Linked DNA regions of Astyanax mexicanus. The protein of the gene in region 1 interacts with the protein of each later gene in a pairwise test. Links are inferred from orthologs where the notes say so. Each region holds a gene or a part of one and is shown in the gene's direction. Other genes may lie near its edges.

The links.
Region 2: the proteins of sumo1 (region 1) and setx interact in a two-hybrid assay, tested with the Homo sapiens proteins (2 studies listed by BioGRID and IntAct). The link is inferred for Astyanax mexicanus from reciprocal best matches to the Homo sapiens genes SUMO1 and SETX.
Region 3: the proteins of sumo1 (region 1) and etv6 interact in a two-hybrid assay, tested with the Homo sapiens proteins (2 studies listed by BioGRID). The link is inferred for Astyanax mexicanus from reciprocal best matches to the Homo sapiens genes SUMO1 and ETV6.
Region 4: the proteins of sumo1 (region 1) and sox2 interact in binary tests that used the Homo sapiens proteins (3 or more experiments, as listed by UniProt). The two-hybrid records come from large-scale screens. The link is inferred for Astyanax mexicanus from reciprocal best matches to the Homo sapiens genes SUMO1 and SOX2.

The regions. Positions count from the first base shown.
Region 1 is NC_064412.1:37,933,855-37,940,747, forward strand, and holds the start of sumo1 (small ubiquitin-related modifier 1), read left to right. Parts: upstream 1-3,877; 5' UTR 3,878-4,024; coding exon 4,025-4,036; intron 4,037-4,801; coding exon 4,802-4,870; intron 4,871-6,349; coding exon 6,350-6,427; intron 6,428-6,893. Other genes in the region: nop58 (nucleolar protein 58), read right to left, coding at 488-532. UniProt on the Homo sapiens protein: Ubiquitin-like protein that can be covalently attached to proteins as a monomer or a lysine-linked polymer.
Region 2 is NC_064424.1:27,370,756-27,378,220, reverse strand, and holds the start of setx (probable helicase senataxin), read left to right. Parts: upstream 1-4,439; 5' UTR 4,440-4,518; intron 4,519-7,465. UniProt on the Homo sapiens protein: Probable RNA/DNA helicase involved in diverse aspects of RNA metabolism and genomic integrity.
Region 3 is NC_064409.1:31,538,518-31,545,908, forward strand, and holds the start of etv6 (transcription factor ETV6), read left to right. Parts: upstream 1-4,368; 5' UTR 4,369-4,754; coding exon 4,755-4,787; intron 4,788-7,391. UniProt on the Homo sapiens protein: Transcriptional repressor; binds to the DNA sequence 5'-CCGGAAGT-3'. Plays a role in hematopoiesis and malignant transformation.
Region 4 is NC_064423.1:26,444,735-26,451,806, reverse strand, and holds the start of sox2 (transcription factor Sox-2), read left to right. Parts: upstream 1-4,058; 5' UTR 4,059-4,450; coding exon 4,451-5,437; 3' UTR 5,438-6,530; intron 6,531-6,703; 3' UTR 6,704-6,807; intron 6,808-7,072. UniProt on the Homo sapiens protein: Transcription factor that forms a trimeric complex with OCT4 on DNA and controls the expression of a number of genes involved in embryonic development such as YES1, FGF4, UTF1 and ZFP206. Binds to the proximal enhancer region of NANOG.

The DNA.
Region 1 (6,893 bases):
GTATTTAAGAAACGTTATTTAAATTTACCGTGAGTATGCTTACTTTAATTGCATTTATACGTGCATAAAACACGTAGTTAAAAACACAGCATATTCTCTTTCGACAAATAGATAACTATAGCGTTAATACAGCTGGCTAACTCGGCTAGCTTAGCAGAAATTTCACAACGTGGGTGCAAAGCAGGCCCGTCCCTACAAGCCACTGCGCTGAGATATTTAGCATAGCTAACGCTGCTATAGCTAACAACCCGGCTATTGACAATGCGTTAGAACTACTGTATGCGTATGCACACTTATTGCCGCAAATTTAACCAGACTTACACTTTAAAAACAACCTAAACTGAAGTTCTTGGCCCGCCAAGTCATCTATCCACAGAGGAACTTCAACTAGCGAGAAAAGCTACGCTGCTAACAGGCTGAAAACGACAGTTCGCGAGGAGAAAGCTCACTGTGCTTATTGCACATTATTTAAGTAAAGTACACTTACCTTAAAGATGGCATAGCCTGCCGCAGTCTCAAACAACACCAACATCTTTATCTAACTGTCTGTTTGGTTAATATAAGAGGAATTAACGCGCTCCCGGCTGAGAGCAGCTCCACAGCACGGCTAACCGCAAGAACTTCTGCTCACCACGCGGTGCACGCGGGCAACTCCCGCGCATGCGCAGTAGGTCTGATAGGCGGTCTTTAAGCAGAGGTGGACGATACCCTGACTATGGCGACTCTTCACACTGTTATGCTGTTCAAACACTCAATACAGGACAGAAAGATTCAAGAAAGATTCAAAAAAGACTTTAAACAGACTAAAGTCTGACACTCTCTAACATCTAAAGACAAGTCACAGACTGTTTACACACAGGCTAAGATTTTGCTAAGTCTGGGGATCACTATTTGCAAGACTTCAACTAGATTATTTCTGAGATTTTTTCCCATCATGCTTCTGGTGAAGTTTACATACAATACATTTTACATATTAAGTTACAAATAATGTGTATATCAATACTGTGATTTATCAGAGAACGTTTGTCCCCATCAACAGTTTATTTTTCAGCCACACTGTAAGTTATTGATTTTATTTTTGTTGAATTCAACTCTGGCTATAAGCTTCTCCACCCCCCCTCCGTTTTTGCTACAACCTTGTATATCAAAAAGAATCACAGTTTTACTGCTATATATTTGCATTTGTTTTGGATAAAATTAATGCAATAAAGAACATCATTCTTGCAAAATGTATATTTATTAAACTTGTTTGTATCAAAAATCACACTGCAATAAGACAAAGTAGTGCAAAATAAAATAAAATATATTACATTAATTCTGTTAAAATGCATGAAGTCCAGCTGTTGCTAAAATATCTCTATAATATTCATGCATTTGCACTGAATTTATTTTGCAATCTCTTTCGCTATCCTGTGTGTATAAAAATATTTTTAAATAAAACCTGTGCACTTTCTCAGTGTCTCAATTTAAATGTCAGGGTCCTCAAACTTATACCAATGAAGCTACTTGTTAATGGTGAGATTTCTTTGCTTGGGCAATGCTATGCCCCTATCACTAGCATTAGAAGCATGTTGGGAGCATTGGCAAAAAGGCCTGTAAATCAGAATGCTTGGGGTAAATGAAGATGGGCTATTGCACAACAGTTTGTACTTGTTATCATGTTTAACTACACCCCAAGTCCATTTCACACTGTAGTTCACCTGTAAAGAGCCACTCAACCCTAAACCATATTTTTTCCATTAATCATTGAAATGTGTTTTTTTTTAAGTAATAAAACAAACCAGTCTTGCTTAAATTTTTTCTTAACATTTCCTAAACTTTAAAAAACACTTTTATTGTGGTAATTTCCGCCTCTGCAGCACCCTCTCATGTCCAACTGTTCTATAGGCGAGGATGATGTGTCCCCTACTGTCGTCCAACCGCTATCAGAGGCACACTGCTGCTGCAGCTTAGCCAATCAGCTCTCCCTTCGGTCCCACTTCTAAACCCATACATCACCGAGTGACACACCCAAACGACCCCTTCCAAATTTTACCTTTTTTTAAATTTGAGTAAGGGTGGTGTCAGCAAAAATCAGGGAGTTTAGTGCTCATTTAAAGCTTTAAGTTAAAATAAACTTATTATTACTAGATGCTGTGACTCTTCTCTGCAAGTTGATTTACTACACAATACATGTTGTTTCAACCAAGCAACCTAGCAAGTTTACAACCCTGATAAAAAATCCAGAGAAAGACCAGCTGGTCAACATGAAAGAACATACCCTACACTGGGTAGGATAGCATAGGGTATGTTTCTCTGGATAACAACCTGGATTTTAGCAGGAAATACAGATAAAGTATTTACATGATTTGTATTCACATCTTCCAGTTATTGGCTCTAACTTTGTTAATTAAGTTAAATCAGGGGTGGACAATCCTGGTCCTGGGTTTTATGGTTTGCCTGATTAAGCACACCTGATTCAACTGATATGTTAATTGCTAGATTCAGTAGCTCTGTTACACCAGAACTATCATCAAACTGTGTTGGACTCCACCCCTTCCTTTCCACTAGATTAAGAAAAACCATATAAATATAAATACCATATATTGAAACCATATAAAACATTGAACAGGGAGTTTTTATACATAAAACTCATCTGTATAGAAAATGGTTACATGCTCTTACAGCCATCAACACTGAGAACAGGCAATCAACCATTGTATAAAATATAACAGAATAGATGAGTAAAGGTAGTCTGAACAACAGAAAAACAACTACACACTGACAGTAAGAGAGGATTGGGAAGTGTTGCACACACAAACTGATTTATGGACTATAATTGAAATCTCAAAACTTAATTTGATGAGTTAATGTAAACAAACAAAAAAAGTTATCTTAACATATTTCTCAAATATTTATAATGGTGCACCATTTTTTCCTCAATGTCAAATTGTTAGGCCATATTTATGAGCAATTCTTACTACAAAATCCTGTTCTGAATAAAGTGTTTTATTTGTGTGGACTCAGCAAGTTCAAACAAATCCTGGAGAAAGGAAGTGTGTGAGAGCACTAAACTGTGCTAGAGACAGTGGTGGACTCAAATGTTTAGACTGCCAGTCCAAATCCTTTTCTTGCTATATCCAGATTGTATTCAAATGGATTTTAGATAGTCTGGACAAAAAACAACTATGAATCTATTATCTTCAAATTATGACATACATCTCTTAATAATGAGATATTATTTATCTAAAACAACGCCTGTTTTATCACACATTTGCAGACTTCCCAAGTCTTCCAAAAGTTGCAGGAGTCTACTGCATGCTAATAACTGCTCCCTGATGCCCACAAGTCTCCCGGGCAATGGAAGTATTGCCCGCTGTACAGTATGTAATAGTGATTTTCGCATTGCACACGAGGGACTAAATGTATAAATGTATATATTGGTGTGCAAGTTATGTTTTTTTGGGGGGAGGCAGGAAGTCAAGGTGCGGGGAACCTCCCTGAAACTATTGCAACTTGGGATGTCTGCATATGTAATATGTATTCAGAAAATCAAAATATTGTTTTGAAACAGAACAAGATCACCATGAACAATTCAGCACGTTTGAAATTCAACCAATTTTTTTTTTTAATAAAAGCCAATTTTATATAAGGCACAGTTTGTGATAACGGTTTTTAATAATGACATGTGGCAGATTATTATTATTATTATTATTATTATTATTATTACTATTATTGTATATTTTATTTGCTCATATTTTAATTATACTCTGCAGCATTACGTTTCCGTATATGTAAACTATGAAATTTTAAAATAAGATGCTCTTTAATTGTAGGTGCATTTTAAAACCTGAACACGCCTCCTTTACTCACACTGGCCGGGGTTTTGTCATCGTTCCCGCCCCTTGTTCCAGTGAGGTCAGCGCTGCTGTGTGTGTGTGAGAGGGAGAGTCTACGAGAGAGAAACATAACCTACATTACAGCCACACTCACCTACATTTCTCACTAAATCACTGTGGGAGAGGGTTAGGCGCTGAGGAGCAGCATGTCGGACACGGTGGGTTCTGGAGGAATGTCTCACAGACTGTGTGGAGCTGAGCGAGCAGCAGCAGGCTGACAGAAACAGCGCTTAAATATGAAAATACGAGGCCCGTTTACTAACGATAACAAGCTACAGCAACCTTTTAGCTCGCTAATTAGCTCATGTTTTACTGATATCTGGGGCAGATTTCTGGTGGTGAGCCTTGTGTTTCCCTTGTTTGGGATTTGTATTTTGGAGAGTTCACTTTACTGAAGCTGTAGCGAGTTAAATGTTGTGTTTAGACTCGGGTTAGTGAGGCTCGTTAGGTGCTAGCTTCAGTATAAAGCCTGAGAGCTACGTTAGATGGCTGGTGGGCCCAGGAGTATTAGCTAGCATAGCTAACGCTAGCTGAGCTAACAGCTAGCTTATCTAAGTTTACAGACTATCTGCCGGTCTGTCCGGTAAACTGTCAGTTTTGAGTTATTCTTTTGTTATAATAGTGGTTTAATTATCCTGCTGCGTTACAGCATTAATGTAAACCAGTGCACACTGCTGAAATTAGCTTAGCTAGCTAACGTTATCAGGTGTTGAAATGTTTCACACAAACCAATACAGTGGAATCCGTTAGCAAACAGCTAGTTAGCTGAGTTAGTTAGCCTACCTAGCTAGTTTTTTACTAGCGTGGGAGTCTTATTCACATCTTTACCAGTGTTTACTGGTAATGTACCAGTGTTTCCTCAGTTAATAGCGTATTCCTTTACATATGTAACATAGTGTAATGTCATATCTTTCTGTATTCAGGAGACTAAGCCCTCAGGAGATGGAGAGAAGAAGGACGGAGAATATATTAAACTGAAAGTGATTGGTCAGGTAAGAGGGGAAACTTCAGATTTGATTGTTGAAGCTGGCTTATTGTTTTTAGGCATGGGCAATACTTTAATATTTTATTATATCAGATCGTGATAAACTGTAGTTTTCTTCACTCTAACTAGAGGGTGGGTAAAAAAATCTCGATATTCTCGATATTTTTAGTTCTTGCATAGGCTTCTGGAAAAAAAAACTAAAGTTTCTGAAGCAGTTTCTCTGATTTTGTATTTGTAGGTATATGTTTGAATAAAATGAACATTGTTTTATTTTATAAACTATGGATAACATTTCAGAAAGTGAGAAATGGCTGAAATACCAAAAAGATGCAGAGCTTTCAAAAATCAAATAATACAAAGAAAAGTTCATATTTATAAAGTTCAGAAATCAATTATTGGTGGAATAACCCTGCTTTGTAATCAGTTTTCACGCATCTTAGCATGTTCTCTTCCACCAGTCTTACACACTGTTTTTGGATAACATTATGCCACTCCTGGTGCAAAAATTCAAGCAGTTCAGCTTGGTTTGATTGGTTGTGATCATCCGTCTTCCTCTTGATTATATTCCAGAGGTTTTTAATTTGGTAAAATTAAAGAAACTCATCATTTTTAAGTGGTCTCTTTTTTTCCCAGAGCTGTAAGTCCTTAGTATTTTTAATTTGTAGATGTTTGAAAATAATTAAAACACCAGTTATATCTATCATTTTATTTATGCATTTATTAACCAAATTAAGAGGTTCTTTATAGGGTTCTTGACAGAAACTTAAGCCTAATTACTATTTATTGAGAGATTTCTTTTGGCACATAGAGATTGCTATGTAAAAATTTGCAGTCTGCGTATCTCATTTTAAAAATCGCTTTAAAACAGTAATTTGATTTATCAAATTAAATTGATTAACCAAACTGTACATTTATCTGTTTTTTTCTATTGTTTTAATGTACGCAGTATTCATTAATATTTATTGTAGTGTTCTATTTTTATGTTTGACCAGTTTGCACGTTATGTTGTGCATATGGTCATAGAGGACCCTAATTTCATTCCTCTGTGTACATAATACAGTTTTTTTTATTACTTTGTTTTATTATTTGGTATTTTTGGAACATCACTATTGGTCAATTCATTATGACATATTAGTATAATGTAAATTCCAACTTCTGTGTTTACACTGTCAGTGAAAAAACAACAAACATGGAGATGGACGGTTAAGGTTTTTGCATGACAGGAATGATGAACTACACAAGAATCTAAAATTTAAACGCTTTATTAAGAGAAAGTATTGCTGAATATGCTTTCTAAACATATATTGAGTAAACAACACTGTATTGTGTCTTTCGTTGTTGTATTGTGTGTTGTAATAATGCTTTTAATATGTTATCATTTTATATTTTTACCGTATCACCCACCCTTACTTGTGGTGTTCACGGCCTGAATAAACTATGTCCCCCTTATAACTTACTCCAAGTTTTTCCTAATGTTTCCTTCCAGGACAACAGTGAAATTCACTTCAAAGTGAAGATGACGACGCATTTAAAGAAACTGAAGGAATCATACAGTCAGAGACAGGTAAGAACCCTGTGAACCTTTGTTACATGTAGTGTATGTTTGGGTTTGCGCTATAATAGATCAAGGTGTTCTAATATCTGAAGGGAGTGAGTGGCTTGTGTGATGGAGCACACCATTCCATTTTGCTTTTCTTCTTTCAAATAATATTGCTGTGTTCCATTTGAAGTCAGATGTTGGAATTTCTTAGTTCCAAGTAATACATTTTAATTGGGATGCTCCTGGTTAGAGCCTCGCCATTACCGAATTCAGGACTGATCCACCACACATGTAAACACATGTAACAAGTAAAAGCACTATTAATATACAAGTTATCACTTTAGTCTGCATGTCTAATTAAATCAGTCTTAAACACAGTACTGTCCCACCTCTATCTGTGGACAAGTGTTGAGATTCACAAAGTCATTTGCAATGCACAATCAATTGGCATCCATAGCAATGCTAAGAATAATAGCAGATATCTAAATGT
Region 2 (7,465 bases), on another chromosome or scaffold:
TTGATAACGAACACAAAGGCCAACACAGGTGATGCCATAATACACCTGGGTATGGATTTGATCCAAATGGGACAATTACTTTTTTATATATAATAAACTCTTCTGTTTTATCTATCTATCCTGTTGACACATCCCAGATCATGAAAAGGCACAGACTGTCCACAACCATTGCTAACCCTCTGCTCCTCAACATCTGACTTCATCTGGTAGCATGGAAGGAGCAAACATGCGCAACAGAATGAAAACAAAGGAAAAAATAAAGACACTGACCACTGAAACCTCAGGTGAACATTAAGCATGTGCTGACGATGACTCTGGCAAGAACAATGCCGATGATGCTGTTCTCCTGTTACCACGCCTATGGAGAGAGTGCTTGTGATGGGATGTCCACAAAGGGAAGGGACGTTATAGAATAGCTCTCTTTAGATTTTTTTCTCTTTTATTTTATTGTGTAATTCATATCAGGCTGAATAAAAGAGATAAATATGGTTATTAGCACTGTTGGCACTATTATTTCATACTAACACATTATATAGTATTGTGCACAAAAAACAGCATAAAGCTGATACCATCTGGTCACACTGGGGACGAATTTAAGAAGTGTAAACAGAATCCGGTCAAAGTATATCCTAATACGAAATGTATGTTAATTCCAGCTGTAAACAGGGCCTGATTTTTTTATTTAATGTGGAGGTGAGGTAAAAGAAAATATTGAAAAATCTGAATCTTGTGCACTCTATATCCTGAAGAGATGTTTTACACTGATTCCTTATCTCTAAAAGTGTTGTAACACATTGTCTCACACACTTGAGGAACACTGGTTATATTGGACTGGTAGGTTAGGTTAACGGGCTAGCTGGTTAATCAGCTCTTGAGCAACATGTCACATTTGATTATGGTCAACCATTCCACCCAAGACACAGACAAGAAAGTGAGTGGCTTTTTATTAAATCATTTAGAGATTATTAATTGTTTTCTCAGTATACATAAAAATGGAGTCAGTAATTGTTTAGAGTAATTAAATACTTAATATTATTTAGACATTTCCTTTTTTTATAGATATAGCCTTTACATAAAACACATTTTATCATTTTTGTAGCTAATAGTAATTATTGTTGATAATCTAAATATCATAAAGAATGGTATCCAGCCTAATTGCATAACAGCAATTGGGCATGTGATCAACTAGCCTTGATTAAAAGAGTGTAAAGTAGCTTTTATTTACAAAGCTAATACATTAACATTTATTAACACTATTTTTTTTAATCAAAAATAATACAGTAGAACAGTTACATTGCTCTGCTGAAAATAGAATTTACCCAGAGCAGCGATTGCTTCTTACAGAATTCGTTCTGTTGTAAAGAAAAGGATCTGGCGATGTTTGACCAGAAGGCGGCGCTGTTACATTTTGTCATTCAGGTCATGCTGACTGACAACTGTGGTCTTTAAGAATCATCAAGCTGATACTCATGGTGGTCAGGTGATACCAGAGGTGTCTAAATACAAATACTTTGTTACCATACATTTGCTACGTAAAAGTGTTGGTTATCTATACTAAATTGCTATCTATACTTCACTAGATTATTATTATTAATTTTTTTTAGAAATCACACTGTCAGTCACAGTGCAGTGTTACTATTACTATTATTCCGTTTTCTGGCTGTTCTAATAGTGTGATTACCATGGCTATTTTGTACTTAGCCCTAAGATTGCAGGATGTAAAGGTTTATAATGATGATAAAAATAATACTGAAGTATGTTTCCTTTGGGAAACTATATGTTGTACATTACAACACCCTAAATCAGCCTTTGTGCCCTATTCACAGACATATTCAGTGACAGCATATTGCTAACCATATCATAACTCACAGTAACTGTTTTTCTACAGCATTCACAACTCTCCTGCCTTGTTTGGTCGAGTGCACTATAGACCCTGTGGCACGATCTAAGCTTTTTGTTTTTAATGGCATTTGTCCCTTACATTACATTTATTTTTTTATAATTAAAGTAGTTTTGAATCAAGCACTTTTACACTTTTCTTTGAGTAAAAAGCTTGAGTTGGTACTTCAACACTTCTAGAGAAGAATTTTAAACCCTAGTATCTATACATCTACCTGAGCAATGAATTTGAATCATTTTGACACCTTTGTGTGATACTCATGATGTTTGGCATGTCGGTCTAAAAATTTGGTCAACCAGCTTAGTGATACTGGTTGTGCTGGTCATGCTGATTCATCAGCTTGGTCAAGTTCACCAGCTTAACCATCAAGCTAAAACAAATATGACACTTGTGATGATAGTCAAGAACTAAGCAGAGGATGAACTAAGGGCTGGCCCAAGCCTTTATGGGCCCCCCCATTCCATAACCTCAGTACCAGATGCTTCATCATTTCAACCATTCCATGGAGAAACCAAAAAATCGTATTCATAACTTGCACATCCGTGCTTCATTACAATTTACTGGCTAAATCCTGTGTGAAATAAAACACAATCTCTTCTCCAGAAGGTTAATTCATTTTTTGAGACATAGCTTTGCCGATTTGCACTCACTTCACTTCTGACTTACATTAGTTATCAAACACTCAAGCACTGCATATTTGCATTTAACCTAGTATTGGTGTGCCAACAATGAAAATAATATAAAACTTGTGTTTAAGCGTGTAATACCATTTTATTTGTATTAATCAATATATATTTTTTTTAAATAAGCATAAAACATATCATGAAAATTAAGGAAATTTGTGTTTGTTATATTATTTCTTTGTTGGATCAATGCTTCTTGGCATTGATAAATCTTACACTATTGAAAAGCCTGTTCATTTCCCATTTAAGTGGAGCCACGTTTATAAGGAACATACTATTGTGTGATGAGCAGTATAGCTGAGTATGTGGGTTGAACACATGAATAATTTTCCAAGTCTTCTCTTCCACTGCCAAACAGCGTATTTTGCTGTTGCTATTGACTCTTGTTTTGACATTCTGATACCGCAAGGTGAGTACCTGTAAGCATGGGCCCTGTTGCGGCATTATTTGGAGTGAGCCCTATAATAACATCTCCAAATTTAGGGCAAATTAGTACACAGAATTATTTTATTGTCATTCAATTTTACACCAGTAGTGCACAAAGGAATGAAATTTCGTTGCAACGGTCCAGTAGTTAGGAGAAACAACCAGAAACAGTAATACTTTTTAGAGTGCAAGTAGAGCAATATATATATATATTAGTATATACAACTATACATATCCATCATATACACACTGTACAAATATGTAAACTAACTATATACCTGCAACACATACCCACATATTGCACATATAGAACCAAAAAACTAATATTGCACAAGTGTTATTATTTTCAGTGTTTAAACTGTCTTATGGCATACAAGAAAAAGCTGTTTTTGAACCTGGTTGTCCTACATCGAAGACTGCGGGACCTCCTTTTAGAGGTCAGCAGTGAGAACAGACCATGGTTGGGATGGGAGGGGTCTCTAATTATGTTTTGAGCTCTGGTCAGGCAACAGTTTATGGCAATGTCCTGTGGGCGAGGAAGTTAAGTCCCAATGATTATTTTAGCTGTCTTGACCACTCTTTGCAGAAACATCCAGTCTGCAGCACTACAGGGTCCTGCCCAGACATACAGAGATGCAGAGATATAATTTTGACAGTAAAAGGTGTTAAGAATCGGAGGTGGAAGGTCTTCTCTTCTCATCCGTCTCAGGAAATGCATGCATTGCTGCACTCTCTTGACCAGAGCTTCAATGTGAGTGGATCAGGTTAAAGTGTCTGTTATCTGTACCCCCTGAAACTTTACAATATAAAAGGGAAATTAACAGGCTTTTCAATTGTATAAGATTCATAGATTCAAAGAAAAAAGTATTGTATCAACACAGAAATGATCTATCAAACACAAATTTCATTAGATTTTGTGCCTTAGACTTCCTTACAACTTATACTTGACTTCCTATACTTATACACCTTGGGCCGGCTCTGGAACCTTTATTCAATTTACTTCTGTTATTGCACTCCAGTATCTTCCTGACTACTTTTACTTTATATAATTTGATATTTTAGTGATATTTTACTAGTTTGGAACATGCTAGCATCATGTGTTTACTCGGGAGGAGTCTGCAGAGAGTGATAGTATTGTGTCAACAAGGAAATAAATTACCAAACACACATTTTTTGTACATTAAGTTTATTTTTTTTATCGTGATATCTGGGTGCTCTTGAGGGGGGCCCTGTTGGTATAGGGGCCCTAGGCGGCCGGGTACTTGCGCATTGGGAATGCCGCTGTGGAACCTTAATTCAATTAACTGCTGAGCTGTATCAGCTGTATCAGCTAACTGCGCCGGGGACTGCGGGGTCCCCGCCCCCGATTTAAAGGGACCGATACGCGCATAAATACAGAGCCCGGCTGCGTCTGCGCAGAAGCGGAAAGACGCCGCCGTGACGTCGGAAGTCCAGCGGCCGTCGCGGAGTGTTGAGTGGGATGAACCAGCGCCAGGCAGCGAGGGGGAGGTAAGCTGATAACAAAACACATGTAGCGGTACAGTCATGGACTTTCCTGCAGCAGCGCAGCACCGTGCTGGAGGAAAGCAGTGAAGTGTTGTGTATGAGTGAGAGTGTGAGAGTGGTTTCGGTCTGTTGTCGTTGTCGGTTGTTGTTGTTGTTGTTTGTATTTTTTAAGCGTGCGCTCGCGCTCGCGTGCCTAAGATGGCTATCTGTGGAACGAGCGCTGCTCCTCCTTTCGATTCAAGTATTAGAGAACGGCAAAAGTTTCTGAACAGCACTTCCAGAGAAATGAGAACATTTTTATCATTATTCTACTGTTTATAGTTCAGTCTGTGTTGTGTCTAAAGACGTCACGCTTTCTCCCGGACAGGCTAAGCTAACAGAAAGCTGCCAGAGTGTAGGCAAAGTCGTCGACTTCAGCTTTCTAGCTAGGTAGCTAACGGTAGCTTAGCTAGATTAACCTAGCTAGATTACTAATAATATTACAAATGATCATTCAGTTCGGCTGTTTCGTATGAATTTACCCAGTTAAAAGTCAAACTGGTTTGTTTACAGGACATTGCTCTCTGTTTTCCTATTCAAATCTTCAGGTCCACCTTAAACACAGCAGGAGTTGCGTTCTGGCGCCATTTAAGGTGGAACTGCATAGTTATAACAACGAGCTTAATTTTTAACAAACGAATTCTAGGAGCAGTAACGTTACTTTTAAACAGTCCTTTAAACAACACCGTCCTCACTTTTATGGTCAGCTGACACCTTCCAAGACCTACAAATTATAAATTCTGTTCACAAAACCTGCATTTTGTCAATCCGTGTAATGTCAACAAATGGTTGTAAAAGTTGTTGTATTTGAGGACTGATTGGCTGGAAGTTGCATGTAACCTCCACTAAGAACTGCTTTCTAAAGCAATGTGTCTTGGGCATCAGATGTCCTGTGTCATAACCATTTGGTGTAATGATTTGCAATCTTTTCAGAAAGCTTTCAGAAAGGCAATCAGCATTATTTCAAAAGGCGTGTCATTTTAAGTTTCTCCAGAATGACAAGAAAAGAGGACCACATTTGCTTCAGTTTTAACCCATTCATGTTTTAAACGTGCACAGATAGTGGCATTTTAGGCACATGTGCCCCCAGTGGTAGCCTTGTTCAGAGGCCCAGTAGTGGCAGTTTGACTAACCTGAGTATTGCACTCCCCAGTCAGTATATTATTACATAATGCAGTATATTAGTGATGCATTTATTTGTGTTTTCTACCTTTTTCGTGGTATGGGATGCAGCATATTTGCAGGTTTTCTCTTATTTGCACTTATGTAATGTTCTGCACTCTGCCTACACTCAGCTGGTTGATGGCTGAAAACTAAAAAAAAATGCTTATTTTAGGGGTGCTGGAAAGTGTGTATCATTTGTGTCACTCTGTAAATTGCACTTAAATTACTCATTAAGTCATTTACAAGAGGAAAACTTTAGATATGTTATACTTTTTTCCATAAGTATTTAAATGTTAGTTATATGATGTGCTATTTTACTAGTTTGGAATATTCCATTCAGAAAGAGTCATCAGAGATCTTTTCTGAGAGAACTCAGAACTTTTTAAGATGACTTTTACTTCTCATAGAAATCTAGTCCCACCTCTGTTAAGTGAGGTCAAGAGTGAGCGATACACTGACCATCATGCTCAGGGCAAGGTGCTGTAAATGATGTTTGAGTTTGAGCAAGGCCTGATGTGTGTGCCAGATGGATTGGATATCCAATGCAACTTGCACTGGCTTGTGACATTCCTTGGTCAACAGTAGCGTGAGTACAGGTAATGCATCATAGAAGTCATTGCCACTGATGGTGAACAGTGAAGTGGTTGGTAGTGATTGTGACTGGCAGCGGATGGCTAGAATTTTCTGTACAATAAAAAAGCAATTCCACAATTTACATTTACATTCAGTGCAGGTTCCACCCATATCCTGCAGGTCAGTGCAGCGTTCTTTAATGAGACGTGGCAAAATTATGGGACACATACTAGCTTTTCCATGATGTTTTGAAATGAGCTTCCAACAAGCAATCCAATATAGCAGTCCTCATGCTGCTATTTATTTATTTTATTTGCTATTTAATATTTAGGCCTCATCCCCAGCAGTGTGCTGTCCATTGTCTAATGGCTAATAACCAAACTGGCCCTAACTCTTGAATCGTTTTAGATGCAGCGTTTGCTCAGTATAAATCTGCTGTAGTGTCTGTTATTTAGTTTAAAAAATAACAATACAATGACAGTTACCAAGTATCACATCATAAACCATTATATGGGTCATGGGTGTGAGGGGCAGTGCTATCTAAGGGTGTGCCTTATTGTATCTTATGCAATAGTATTTCAAACATGTTGAACACAATAAAAAAACATTGTGATTGTAGCGACATTATGGAAAGCAATCTATTTTGAATTTATTTTTCTATTTACTGTATGTTTGCAGTTTCTATGCATTTACTAGATGTATATAACTGTTATATGATGTTTATACTAGGGGTGTCACGATCTCGATATTTTATCGAAATCGAATCGAAATGAGGTCACGATCTCGAGTATCGAAGTCAAAAAGAGGATCGACGATCCCTCCCGCGCGCGCTACGCAAATAGTGCAGCGCGCTACGCAAATGGCGCGGCACCAACACAGCGCATCCTATTCATTTAAATAGAGATAGCCACTGCATGAGCGCAGTCGGCGGGAGTGTGATCACTGTTTTTATCTGTCCAACGGGGGAGGGGGGGCGGGGGTTGGGCGCGCAGGTTTTGTATCTGTATCTAACGGAGGGGTGGGTGCGCGCAGGTGAGAGCGTGTGAACTCGCTGAAATGCGTGTGTCAGTGTGACTTGAGAACACTGACTATAGATCACAGTGAGGTGGATTAAAAATCTTAAACTTATAATTGACTACACCTGTTGCTTTCCATTGAATTCAAAAAACATCTT
Region 3 (7,391 bases), on another chromosome or scaffold:
TACTAGCAATAAGAGTGTTTGTGACCCCAAGCCACAAGAGGGCCCCGTTGATCAACTTTTACACCATCTGCATTTATTTATTTTTTAACATAACACATTTTTGCCTCTAAAACTCATTATAACATATACATATGTTCAGTATGTGATGTGCCTTTAGTAAAGAATCTTTAGACATTTTTTAAAATTGATTTAATGTTCTTCTTTTATGTCTTTTTAAACAGATCCATATCTTTTCAGAACTGCAGTGGTGAGTCATCTTTTCACATTGGAGAGATAGTAAGAACTCTTCTCACTTTTTCAGATCAGAAGTGAGAGTGAAGCTTAAGTGTCTACAATCTCTCAAACTAGACTGTAAGTGCTGTATATCTAAGAGGGTCATTTTGGCAATCTACCAGGTATGGTTATGGTTATCCTTTAAAATATATCCTGGAAATGAATGTACTGAGAGTTAAGTAAATTAAGTATGGTTAAGTATGGTATAGGGTAGGTCCTTTTGTGCAGTACACTTCTTTACAAAAAATTAACTACAAAAGAGGGTAAATATATATTACATAACTATTACAATACATTTAAAAATGATTACAAAAGTATTTTATCTTCTTTCAGATCCATTGAATTATATCTTTTTCTGTTTTTTTTAATATAATTGTATTTTATGAATTCTACATGTTGGCCTTATCATTGGGATATTTTAAATTTAGGCAACAGATTTTATAATCTAATTAATTTCATCAAAACAGAGGGTATGTCCCAATTGTGTATTTAAAATAAGTAAAACGAATTCACTTTTAAGTATAAACCATTACATAGTAGTGATTAAAAAAAGTATAGATAAAAGTGTTAAGAGTTAAGAATACAAAAATATCAGACATATTCAGATACATACTCCATTGATTCAGTATTTGAGTGTGGTTTCGATGGAGGAGAAGCTTCTCTGATCTGGACAATTATTAGAAAAAAATAACATGACTGTAAAACTGTCTGCTATATATGCTGGCAAAGCAACACTTAATCACTTCTGTGTACTAACCAACACTATTAAGATGTATGGTATATATTATACAGCTTATAGTATTAGTGGGTACTTCTGATTTTCTCTTGTAAAAAAATAATAATAATAAAAAAACCTCATAATTGTGGGATAAAATTATGTAACAGTTGGCATGGTGTAGAAAACCTGCTAAAAGAGACAGACTGTTTTAAATATTTTGTGTGTTGAACATTGGCATGCGGATCATTAGCAATAGAGGTTTTAGCATTTATCATTAAATTTGACCAAGTTTTCCAATTTTATCACGAAAAAAGTTTCAAAATCATTGTGGTTCTCCACTAATGTGTAACAAAGGTGTAATGTGTTTCTTTTGTTTCTACTCTGTGTCTGACACAGTGCCAACTACACTATGTTTCTTTGGTAAAGTCTACAGAATAACACTCATGAGAGCTGTGTATGTGAGTCATATTTGTGTAAGCTCCTGTAATTGTGCTCTTCTGCCTCAGTCCACATGCTCCTTTCATTTCCAGTGACGGTTCTGCTGTTCTCAGCATATCCAAAAATACACGAAAGCATGTCCTTCTTATGAGGTGGCTCATAGTGTGAAATCCCATTCCCAGCTGTACAGGGAACAAGCTCAGGAACAAAACAATCCTCTCAATTTTCTCATACAGCTTCAATACACTGCTTGGTCTGAAACTTGAGCTAGCTGATGTCTTGCTCAATCAAAAGGCAAGATATGGACAGCTTACTGCAAGATATAATTGTATAGCTGTGTTGTCTTTGGCTGTTAACATTTTCACCCAGTGAAACAGAAAGCTAGGTTGCTAAACTTCAATTTAAACATGAGGCACAGATTCTTGCCCCAGAAGGAAAAGGGAAAAACACATTTGCTGTGTTTACAACACTGGTATGCTAGTCAGTCAGCATCAGACCATCATAAACGGGTTTGCACAAACATTGAATTATTTTGCTATAAGATTTCTATTATTGTCATTTTTTGTTTTGTTCTGATGAATACCCAAAATTGTGTACAGTATGTCTACTAAATAAAATATGTCTATAGCAAATGTAATTGTTTAGTTCTTTTTTTTATTAAAACATGACAATCATGCAAAATTGTTTAACTCACTGCTTTCTATTTAACATTGTGTCCACCAAAAAAAAAAAACGAAAAAAAAAAAAAAATACAATCAGTAAAATTGTTCTCCTGTGATCTAGCTAGAATTTCTGAATTATATATTTAAGTTAAATTACATATTTATCTGCTATTTTTCACTCAGGGGTCAAGAGAGCAAGAGCTACTATTTAATGCTGAATCGAAATGTCAATTTACTAACATTGTCTACAAAGCTTACAACTTTACAAACTGTCTACTTTCAATAATAAGCAATGTTTTTTTGTTTGTTTATGTAGCGTTTTATACGGATTTACAGTCTGACATATTTATTACTGTACGCTAATAAAATAGCTGTCATTACTGCAGCCTTTTCACAACATGTTTATAGTTTCTCCTATGAACAGATCAGTGTAAAAAGTGACCTTCTATCAGTAATGCACCATTTTCTCGTGTTTACTGTGTTAAGTAGACATTGAAACCCTTCGATTAAGCAATGCTTTACTCCACAGTGTCAAAAGTGCACAGCGGCTTCAATTCCCAGTTTCCTCTGCGCACATGCTGGGAAGACAGGATAGCTGTGTGTAAGCGCTGACCTGCGACCAGTGTTGTGGGTGCAGTACGGCACGGTGATATGCTGTGTGACCAAACTAGCTGATCCAGGTACAGCTCCAAAAAGGCTACACGCTTAACCACACCCACAAACGCTGCACACGATGCGTTACTTCCCCACCCGTATTGGGGAAAGCCCCGCCCCGGTGCTCTTCGATTGGCCGACTACTTGCGAATGTTTACCAATAGCCAATCGCAGAGCGGGAGCCAAGAAGCTAGCGGAGAACAAAACAAGAGATGAGCCTGAAACTGCAGGAAAGTAAAAGTGTTACTAGATGGAAATCATAAATGACTCAATTACAAGTAAGATTAGTTCACTCAGGAAAAACAAATGGAAAAAACTGGTTTGAAAGCAACTTTTAGACTTTGTTACTATAAGTATATGAAATGTTTACCAGTCTGTCACTGTATTATCTGTGTCTTCATTTTTTATCATATTGGTCTAACAAAAAAATGATAAAACTCAAATGTGGGAAATGTTATGTGAACAGAACAAAATAAAACGTAATCCAGAAATGTAAGTAGTACCCCATTTGATTTAAAGTTGCTGATCTTAGTGTTAAAAATGGGATTAAATAGGCCAATTTTTAAAACTTAAATTAGTACTTTAGGAGATGTAATTTTAATGCATTTATAAATAAGCTACTACAATATGTAATGTTCTTATGCACAAATTAATAAATTATCATATAAGAGCATACCAAAAGTGCCGTTTGTAAATTTTGGACCATATTGTAAAGTAATGCCATTTAAAAAGATCCAAATAAAAAGTAAATGTTAACTAATGAAATGGGTGGTAATGACCCATTCACAAATTTGCATATTTGTAGGTTATGGTCGAGTGTTGGTACCCTTGAAAATTAACCAGAAAATGTTCACATACATTGATTTACATGAGTTCACAAGCATCACATGTTTGAAACAGATTTATTTTGCCACATTTTTAAAAGGTGCCAAGAATTTTGTCCAATTTTGGAATTCTATACAAAATTAGGCCCCTTTTTTCTTTTTTTCTCAGTTTTTTGTGTTGTTTCAATATACACAAAGGAAAAAAACATGTACAACTAAACATGTGTAATTGCAATAATTTTCTGTGAAAAATACATGGCGATACACTTTCTGGAAAGGGATTTCAGGGATGAAAAGTTTATGTCATTTTAAAGCATTAACTAGTTTAGCTGATATATGTAAGTAGGTACTACAGTAGTAGCTGCTGAAATAAGTAGCGTTAATACATATACATAAAGATACCCTATGTAGATATGCCATATTGTTAATGTGGAGCACAGTATTGTACATTGTTATTTTATAATTTGTGTGTTTGGTGTTAAAATCCAACATAATTTGAAATATATTTAATTAATAAATCAGTAGATGTAATTTTGAAGCATATTATCAGTTTAGCTGCTATATGTAAGTAGACATTAAAGTAGCAGGTTGTGAAATAAGCAGCTTTTCGTACATATAAATAAAGATATCCTTGTCATATTGTTACTGTGGAGCACAAGTATCTCACAGTGCAGCTTTAACCAGTTACTGTGGTCTGTTGGCCAATCGGCGCGCAGGGGGGGCGTGGCCTGTCTCAGTACGGGCGGAAAGCAGAGGCCGGCGGCTCGAGCACAAACAGCCCGACTTCCTGAGAGGGTTTCCCTTTAAGGGGGCTGCGCCTCACTGCTAGGAATTCACGTCATTTCGCCACCAAACACGACCGAATCAATGAGCGCAGCGCGAGTCTTCCAGGAAGGTGTTAACCATCACCTCGCCAAAATGTAGCGCCGCTGCAGGAGAGAAGAGCACAGCAGCAGAAGTTGGAGGAAAGCTTTGTTGGTGTTTTCCGGGACGGGCGGGAGCGATGGAGCCGCAGGCCGAGTGATGAGCAGCAGCAGCAGCGCGCCGGCGGCTCGACAAACACTGAGGCCGGACTGTCTCTGCTTCTCCGCGGCGGCGGTTCCTCTGTTTCACAGAGAATAAAGAAAAGAAGGAGGAGGAGGAGAAAAGGAAAGTGGAAACGGGAGAACTTCCTGAATTTGAGACATGTCCAGTTCCCCCTCGCAGGTCAATGTTAAGGTATTTATGTGTTTATAACTATGTTAATGTTGAGTATAGTGGCGTTGAGAGAGACTGTGCTGTTCTTACTGTTACTGTTGTTCTTGTTGTCACGCTGTCCTCATCTGTTGCGGAGAGTCCTGTGTTTCTGTTGCTGAGAGTCCTGTGTTTCTGTTGCTGAGAGTCCTGTGTTTCTGTTGCTGAGAGCCCTGTGTTTCTGTTGCGGAGAGTCCTGTGTTTCTGTTGCTGAGAGCCCTGTGTTTCCAGTGCGGAGAGTCCTGTGTTTCTGTTGCTGAGAGTCCTGTGTTTCTGTTGCTGAGAGTCCTGTGTTTCTGTTGCGGAGAGTCCTGTGTTTCTGTTGCTGAGAGCCCTGTGTTTCCAGTGCGGAGAGTCCTGTGTTTCTGTTGCTGAGAGTCCTGTGTTTCTGTTGCTGAGAGTCCTGTGTTTCTGTTGCTGAGAGTCCTGTGTTTCTGTTGCGGAGAGTCCTGTGTTTCAGGTGCTGAGAGCCCTGTGTTTCAGGTGCTGAGAGCCCTGTGTTTCAGGTGCTGAGAGCCCTGTGTTTCAGGTGCTGAGAGTCCTGTGTTTCAGGTGCTGAGAGCCCTGTGTTTCAGGTGCTGAGAGCCCTGTGTTTCAGGTGCTGAGAGCCCTGTGTTTCAGGTGCTGAGAGCCCTGTGTTTCAGGTGCTGAGAGCCCTGTGTTTCAGGTGCTGAGAGCCCTGTGTTTCAGGTGCTGAGAGCCCTGTGTTTCAGGTGCTGAGAGCCCTGTGTTTCAGGTGCTGAGAGCCCTGTGTTTCAGGTGCTGAGAGTCCTGTGTTTCAGGTGCTGAGAGTCCTGTGTTTCAGGTGCTGAGAGTCCTGTGTTTCAGGTGCTGAGAGTCCTGTGTTTCAGGTGCTGAGAGCCTTGTGTTTCAGGTGCTGAGAGCTGTAGTGTAATGTGGTGGTAAACCCAGGCTCTCCTGGCACACTGCGAGGCCTGTTTACTCTACTACTAAAGAAACACCTGATGAAAGCTGCGCGGCTCAAGCTCCCATTCATTTGTGTACAGTGGAGGTGTGCGTCCTGTGCTGCAGCACACTTCCTACGAGCTGCAGTGCCCTGAAAATCAAGGTCCAGCTCAGCTCTGTTGCAGTTAGCCCACATGTGAGCTTGCTGGTTTCCTGTTGCGGAACTGAGCTCAACAAATGTTACCCATATTACATTTGGGCCCCTATTTCATGGCTTTATTTTTAAGCCAGTGGCTCCCAAAGTCAGTTCTACGAATCCCATCATGCCTCCACTGTAAACACTCATGCAGTATCCACACAAGTTATTTGCAAGCTGGGTGAAGCACAATATACCTTTAACTGTTACCTGTTTGTACATTTAAAGTTCCAGGACTGGGGATTATAAACTCCTGGTTTGTATTGATGAGATATTGTGGGGTTTAGTACCATTTATTCTCAGTTAATTTTGGCACATTGATTATTTATTTATCTCTCTCAGTTATTACAATTAAACAGAGCAGTTGGTTTCCTGTGAGGTTTTACCCTCTATTGGTAAATCTCTTTACAGTGTTTCTCAATAAAAATCAGTCCAGGCTTAAATACTCCATATTGACTCCAGGCTGAAGTGGCTGAAGTGGAGTGGCTGAAGTGAAACTGTAAAGTACAGTGCTGTACATACGCCGACCATTACATCTAAATATTTTACTGTAACTTACTGGCATAAAAAATCAGTAACTTATTATATTGTACTGTAATACACATGGTCATTCGCATAACCTACAGTAATATGGAGGTTTATTTTTTCAGCTAAATTGTGTAAACTAGACATTCAGTTTAATCAGAAAGACAGGGTCAGGGTCAGTTAACACATCTGCAGGTTACATTTACTTACTGAAATGAAATACCCCACATTTCAGGGCCCTTCACTTTGAGAAAGTGTAGAGTACTGACACTGACTTGTGGTGATACTCTACAGATGCTGTAACTAAAGCAACAAATGCAAAAATAGTTATAAAGGTAAATAATACATGGCAACTGTCTGAAAAAACTGTAGCAAATATTTTACCACACTGTAGCACCCATCTAGCATCATTTCAACCACCTGGGATACCATTGCAACATCATGGTAACCAAGTATATCATATCTTATCATACTAGCCACCTACACACATCACATGAACCACTTAATAACATCGTAACAACCACCCGAGTCAGTGATTCTACCTGCGTAAAAGTCACCACCAATCTGCTAACTGCAGTGTGTTCTCCTCCTCTCACAAAAACCAAGCAGCTGTATGCAAGCGCAATGCAAAGTGTCAGATGGAGGGGTGTAAAGCACATTGCCACTGAGCAATAGAGCAGTGGAAACGTGTTCTGTAGAGTGACAAATCACTCCTCTCTCTGGCAGCGTAATGGATGAGTCTGGCTTTGGTGAATGCCAGGAAAACATTATGTGCCTGACTAAACTAGGAGCCCCTTATTAGTACTATATACCATTCTATAGTCTATATAGAATGTAGAGTTGTCTATGGTTCCACACACAATTTCCAGTGGCTCCAACAAGGAGAAGGTGAATAAACACATGACTGATTTCTCAGATTTGCCTGAACATTCAACAGAAGATACTGTCCTTGCATTGTTATC
Region 4 (7,072 bases), on another chromosome or scaffold:
TATATATTATATTAAGGAAAACACACTCACTGCCCATTTCAAATTCATTTGGGTTTATTTGAATTTTCACTGTTTATTAAAGAAGGTTTTTGTGTGACAATAAAGAACTGCTGACTATAATCTATCTGATAAAGTATGGTTTTACAGGTGAAATGCTTTGGGCTGTGTTAGCTTGTACAGTGCAGAAAGACTAATTGGACTGTGTTTGCTTATTCACACTTTTCTGAGGATTAAATAATTGACTCAGCAACAGAAGATTAGTCTTGGAATTTTAGCTGCAAAATTATAATAGTTATAATAATGATAATAATGTGGCATTTGTTGTTTTTTTGGTGAAATTAACTGTACGGTAGCTTTGTATGACATGGCAATGCATTCTCAGCAAAGGGAGGAGAAAAAAAATTCTTTATCAAATAGCCATTCTTTGGCTTTGAATAAAGCGAGCCCATTAGCTCCCGGCCGCTTTTGTTGGCCCTTTACAAGAGCGAACAAAATGGGTTATTCAGGAGAAGGCTTTAGATTTTTATTGTGGGTAGTGCACACAAAGAGCAGCGTTATTGTATTAAAAAAAGAACCATCTGTGGAAGAAACAATGGCTTCAAATTATCTTTGAATACCCGGCGAGAGGGAAAAAAAAATAAAAAAAATACAAAGCTTTTTCCTCCTCATTATGCTCGGTGCTGGGGGTGGTGGTATAATTTGACTTTTGTTGTTCTTGATGCATTCTTCCTCTTTCAAATCAGCCCTGTGTGTAGCCATAAAACGGCGTTTTCTTGTTCCAGGTCCGGCGAGCAAAGAGGAGCGAAGGCGAGCGAGGAGTGTGTGGAGTGTGCTAGGGAGCTAGGAGTGCACGTCGTGCAAGGAGTGAGATTTATGTGGTTTACATGGACTATGAAGTGTACGAGGTGGTTATGAACTGTGAATATGAGGTGTGTATTGTGCGTATGAGGCAGTGTGTGTGGACTGGCTAAACTGGAGATCTGAAGCTTTGGATGCAGCAATTGAGGGATTTTTTTTTTCCTTTTTTGGTAAAAGTTTTGGCACCTCTGGGACAGATGCACTGTGGATATGGGCATTTGCCAGGCAGTAAGGAGAAATAGCAGCCAGTGAGGTGAGTGTGTATCAGCACAGTGAGAAACGTGTGTGTTTGGTTGAGGGTGGAAAGTGCTGATTAGATGTGTTAAATGCCTAAAGGGCGTTTACACTATATTTTACACTAATATATATATATATATATATATATATATATATATATATATATATATATATATATATATATATATATATATATATATATATATATATAGTTTACACACACGTTAAACTTAAGGGAATTCATTCTGAAATAATTGTTTTTAATGCCTAAATATTAAACATGCGCTGCTCTCATTTAAGAACAACTGTTGACGCAATTACGTGCATGTGCATTTGCCTGCGATGCGAACGTCATCAACGCGTTTTTTACGAGCGCCTTTTTTTTTTTACAGTAAAAGTTTTTAAACTTAATATCACGTGAATGGGCTTTTATAAATAAAATATATATATATATATATATATATATATATATATATATATATATATATATATATATATATATATATATATATATATATATATTGATTTAGTTTTTGTTGTTGTCAATTTGGCCAATTGTGTGTGTGCTCATATCTTGTTTAAAAAGTGTTACGTTTATGAGAAAATATAAATAGAAATATTAATTATTTCCCCCCCCCAAAACTAGTCAGTTTCTACACAAGCTGCTGTTCATCTGCGCCCCCTAGTGGACAAACCATGCCCAATGCGAACGGACTCACACACACACACAGACAATATAATGATTTTTTGTTATACATCGCTAAAAAGAATTATCTCCAAAATTATGCAGAAATGTAAATCTACTTTTAATATTTATTTTTTGACTTATGTTATAAAATTGAGGAATAATTAGAGAGATAATGGAGAGTTGTGGATGTCAGTGTGCTTAGCTGAAATAGGGTTTGAGTGTTTTAGCTTAGTCTGTTTCATAGTGTTAAAAATACATTTTTTAAGTTTAATATTAATATTTAATATTTTTGATTTTATTAATGTATATATTTAATTATAGAGTTTCTTCTGTATTGATGTGGTTAGGCTTGTTTTGTACAGCAGTCTTTTATGTGCTTTCTGGTTGTGTGTGAGATATTATTAAGCACTGGATGAGCTCTTTCTTTATGAAAATATTTGTCTGCTCTCAGTCTCATAGAAGTGTGTGTGTGTGTGTGAACATTTGCTGTATTGTAATTGTGTCAATTAAGAAAAGTGCAGTTAAGGAGGACTCTCTCTCTCTCTCTCACACACACACACACAGACAAATACAGATGATGGTGATTTCTGATTTCCTGCTGTTCACTGCATTTCCATAAGCAGATTAAGGCCCCAATAGAGAGAGGGAGAGAGGGGTGTCCACTACACCTCAGCCACACACATACGCATCTTACCACTTATACACCATTATACTCAATTTATACCAATATACTCTGACCTTGTAAAAACAGTTGGGTTTATAAACGTTATAAACATTTCACTTCTTCCTTATGAGTTAGTCTTGAGCTAAAATAATGGCCACAACATTTTACCCTAAACTTAAACCTTTTACCACATTCACCAACAGTTTAGTCTACAAGATTTTAATGCAAGATATTTTAATTTAAACTCCAACATTTTTATTTAAATATTTTTGTCTAAATCCCAGCATCTTGCCCCAACCGCCACTATCCAACTCCCAAATTGTAGTCTAACCACTAAAATTTAAATCCAAATTACAGCATTATAGTCCAAACTTAATTATTTTAGCCCAAATTTAATATTATACATTATAAAACCAATATAATTCGAAATAAAATTCTAATCCAAATTTTAACATTTTAAAACTTTTACCCAAAATGTTTTTAAACCCCAGCATCTCTGTGCAAAATCCAAAAGTTAGTTAATAATGGAAATGAGGGGGAAAAAAATTCAGACCTGAAAAATTAAATCCTGGCTGATTGGCCACAAAGCACACTTTCTTCCAGACAGAGTAATTTAGTTTATACTCAACATTTTAGTCCAGATCACCACACTGCTACTCTTTAGACTGCAGTGAAGCTTGGGGCACTATTAGAGGCGTTAGTCAAACCGGCCGGAAGAGGGCGCTGTTGAAACACAGTGAGGGCCTCGTCGGCTCGTGCTTTTTGTGAATTAAAAGTGATCTGATTGCACGTGTTTGTCTCTACAATAAGCCTTGTTTGTAAGCCAGATCGGCTCCACTTTCCTCTGCAGAGAGTTTCATTCTCTCACCAGTTTATTTATAACTGGGACTGGCACTGAACTGGACTAGAGGGCTTATAACTTACAACAAGTTTAAATCAAACACAGGAGGTGCTGAAATTATCTCAAACTGTTGTGTGCACAATCTATCAGAGTAAATATAAAGCTGCAGTTGTTCGTCCATTGGTTGCACTATGCACGAGAATAAAACTGTATAGTAAAATCTTCTTTCACTGTGGGTCAGTACATAGTGATACTTTTTGAGGTTTTAAACGGTGTATCAACCAAATCAATATTGGCGTTCTGATTTACTTTAACTTAAAAATTACTGGACATTAGAAATAATGAGGAGAATTTGAAATTAATAATAAACAGCAGCAGTGTCTCGAGGCAGGGAGATCAGTTAGATGGTGAAAACTCAAATAACATATATTAAAACCCATATATCATATAATATATATTATACTTTCTTTATCCCGAAGGAAATATATATATATATTTCTCTGACTTCCACAGCTTTCACTTAAGTTACTAACATTAGGGCTAAACACTGCACATTATCACGTTCAAATTAAACTTGTTTCATATATCTGCAGCGTGTGTGTGTGTGTGTGTGTGAGAGTGAGAGAGAGAGAGAGAGAGAGAGAGTGAGAGAGAGATTTCTGTTCAAACTCAGCTGGGAAACCCACTCTAGCCTCCCAATGCCCCGCCCCTTTATGCTAATTAACCCACCAAACCCCGCGCTGCGATTGGTCAGGTGAGAAACCATTTATATTGGCTGACAGTCCTTCCACGTGAACGGTTGTCTATTAACTTGTACCAAAAGTATCTGGAGTTGTCAAGGCTCCGGCGTGGAAAAGGGGGCAAAAAAAAGCTCAATTTTGTTGATTCTTTTGAAGACTTGAGAAGTTTGTGGGCAAAACAGGAGTGAGGGGGAAATAGACGAAGTGGAGAACTGCAGAAAAACTTACCCCAGCACGGGCTGAAGGGGGGCTGCCGCAGAGAGCGCTTGGACTTGGTTTGTTTTTATTTTTGTTTAGTTTTTTTTTTATTTTTATTTTTATTTATTTTTGTATTTTTTCACTTGCCAGAAGTTCTACTACTTCTTCTGCTGGTGCTTTTTGTTCTTGGTCGAGTGGAGAAGGTTTTTGACAACGATTTCTAGATGTATAGCATGATGGAAACCGAGCTGAAGCCCCCGGCCCCTCAGCCGAGCACTGGGGGCACGGGGAATAGCAACAACCCTGGGGGCAACAATCAGAAAAGCAGCCCAGAGAGGGTCAAGAGACCCATGAACGCCTTCATGGTGTGGTCCAGGGGCCAGCGCAGGAAGATGGCCCAAGAGAACCCCAAGATGCACAACTCGGAGATAAGCAAGAGGCTGGGGGCCGAGTGGAAGCTGCTGTCCGAGTCCGAAAAGAGACCCTTCATCGACGAGGCCAAGAGGCTCCGCGCACTGCACATGAAGGAACACCCGGATTACAAGTACAGACCGCGGAGGAAAACCAAGACGTTGATGAAGAAGGACAAGTACGCGCTTCCTGGTGGACTCCTCGCACCGGGTGGCGGCGGGGTGGGCGTCGGTGTTGGGGTCGGCGTTGGAGTTGGCTCCGGCGTTGGGGCCGGCATGAACCAGAGAATGGACGGCTACGCGCACATGAACGGCTGGAGCAACGGCGGCTACGGCATGATGCAGGACCAGCTCGGGTACGCGCAGCACGCCGGCCTCAACGCGCCCATGCAGACCTCGGCCACGGCACCAGTGCACCGGTACGACATGAGCGCGCTGCAGTACGGCTCCATGACCACCGCGCAGACGTACATGAACGGCTCGCCCACGTACAGCAGCATGGCGTACTCCCAGCAGCAGAGCGGACCCCCCATGACACTGCACGGCTCCATGAGCTCCGGGGTGAAGTCCGAGTCCAGCGCGAGCCCACCGGCCGTAGTCACATCTAGCTCGCACTCGCGCTCCGCCGCTGCCCAGCCGTGCCAGACGGGTGATCTGAGGGACATGATCAGCATGTACCTGCCCGGTGCGGACGTGCAGGATCAAACGGGCCAAAGCAGACTGCACCTGTCCCAGCACTACCAGGGCGCACCTGTGCACGGGACGACCATCAACGGCACGCTGCCCTTAACGCACATGTAGATGGACACTTGGACCCGTTTTACACAAACGCGAAAACACTGGGACTGGACTACTACTGTTATTATTATTATTATTATTATTATAATTATTATTATTATTTTTGTACAGAACTTTTCTTTTTGGTGAGGGAAAACTTGTACAGGACTCGAGGAAAGAACACAAACATTTTTTCTTTGCTTTCGTTTGAAAGAAAGCAAGTCATGCGCTAGAAGAAACGGTAGGAACCGTACAAAAATTATTTTATTTTTTAAGTGTGTTTTCTTTTTTCTTTTTTGAAACATACAAAAGGGAGGAGGGTGGGGAGAATCAATCAAATGATGTTTTATTATTGCAATCAACGTTTTGTACAGTATTTATCAAAAACATATAACAATCAGTTGTAATGTTTGTAAACTACAAAAAGTGATTTTTTTTTATAAAATCTAAATCATGCAGAACTCACAATGCTTAATGCTCCAGTCTCTGCAAACCGCTGGAAAAAAATATAAAGCAGGAAATGTTTCTCCTTGAGGGTGAAAGACAGTACAACATTTTTTAATTTAGTTCTAAAAGAAAAAAAGATGAAATACAAAAACACTCGCACGTAAATTTATATATTATTTTGTTTTGTTTTGTTTAGTCCCCAACCCTCCATCTGTTAGAGATATGAAGTTTGTGTTCTTTATTTTCTCATGGCTTGTAAATTTTCTGTATATTTACTGTGATATTTTAAGTTTTTATTTTAAAAAAAATTTAACTCTTTTTTTCCGTAGTTGTATTTTTAAAAATGTGGCCTGTACGCAGATGCCAACACTCCATGTATATATATATATATTTGAACTAATAGCACCATAACAGTTACAATTTCAGTAAGAGAGTTTTTTTTCAATATGCAGTTTGAAATGAATAAATTTTTGAAATTTGGATATTTGAAATTGTTTTGGGTTTTGATTTTATTTCTTCCTTTTGTAGGTTTGTTGTTGGTTTCATTTGCTTACCTCCCACTCAGGACACAAATGATTTAATATGCTTTAATAGTCAGTGATGCACAAAACAAAAAACGAAAACTGCATGACCATCTTCTCGGTTTAAAAAATATGCGGCTCATTTGACTGTAAGTATTTGAAAATGTCTTCTAATATCTTCTAAAGAGCAGTAAAGCAACTGCGTGCGTGTGTGTTTGAGGAGTGCATGCGAGTGTCAGCTTTGCATCCACATTAATGTCTGTGTTGAGCTTTTTAGATCGAGCTTTAACACCGTTTTCTGTTTCTGTATTTTGTTGTGAAGGACTGTGGCTCATCGGCTCTTCGGAGGTTTTATTCTCCTGTAAATCTGCATTTTAATGGGGCTGGCTGATAAACCTACCAAAAAGGCTGAAAACCCACCATGAGGTAGATTTCATTTATTTAAAGTACATTACTCTGAATAAATGTGTGAACGTGATTAAATACATTTTAATCTCAATAATTTACTCGCGATTGTAAAAAGTGGTAAGGGCAGATCTGTCAGGTTGATACTTTTATATCTTTATGAAAAGATGGAATGTATTTGTTCACATCAACTCAGGTAAATCTTAGGTTTAAGTTTAATTATTTTGCCTGTTTAATTTTAGTTCAATTATAATTTCATTTAAATTAAAGAGTTTTATTTGCTTGT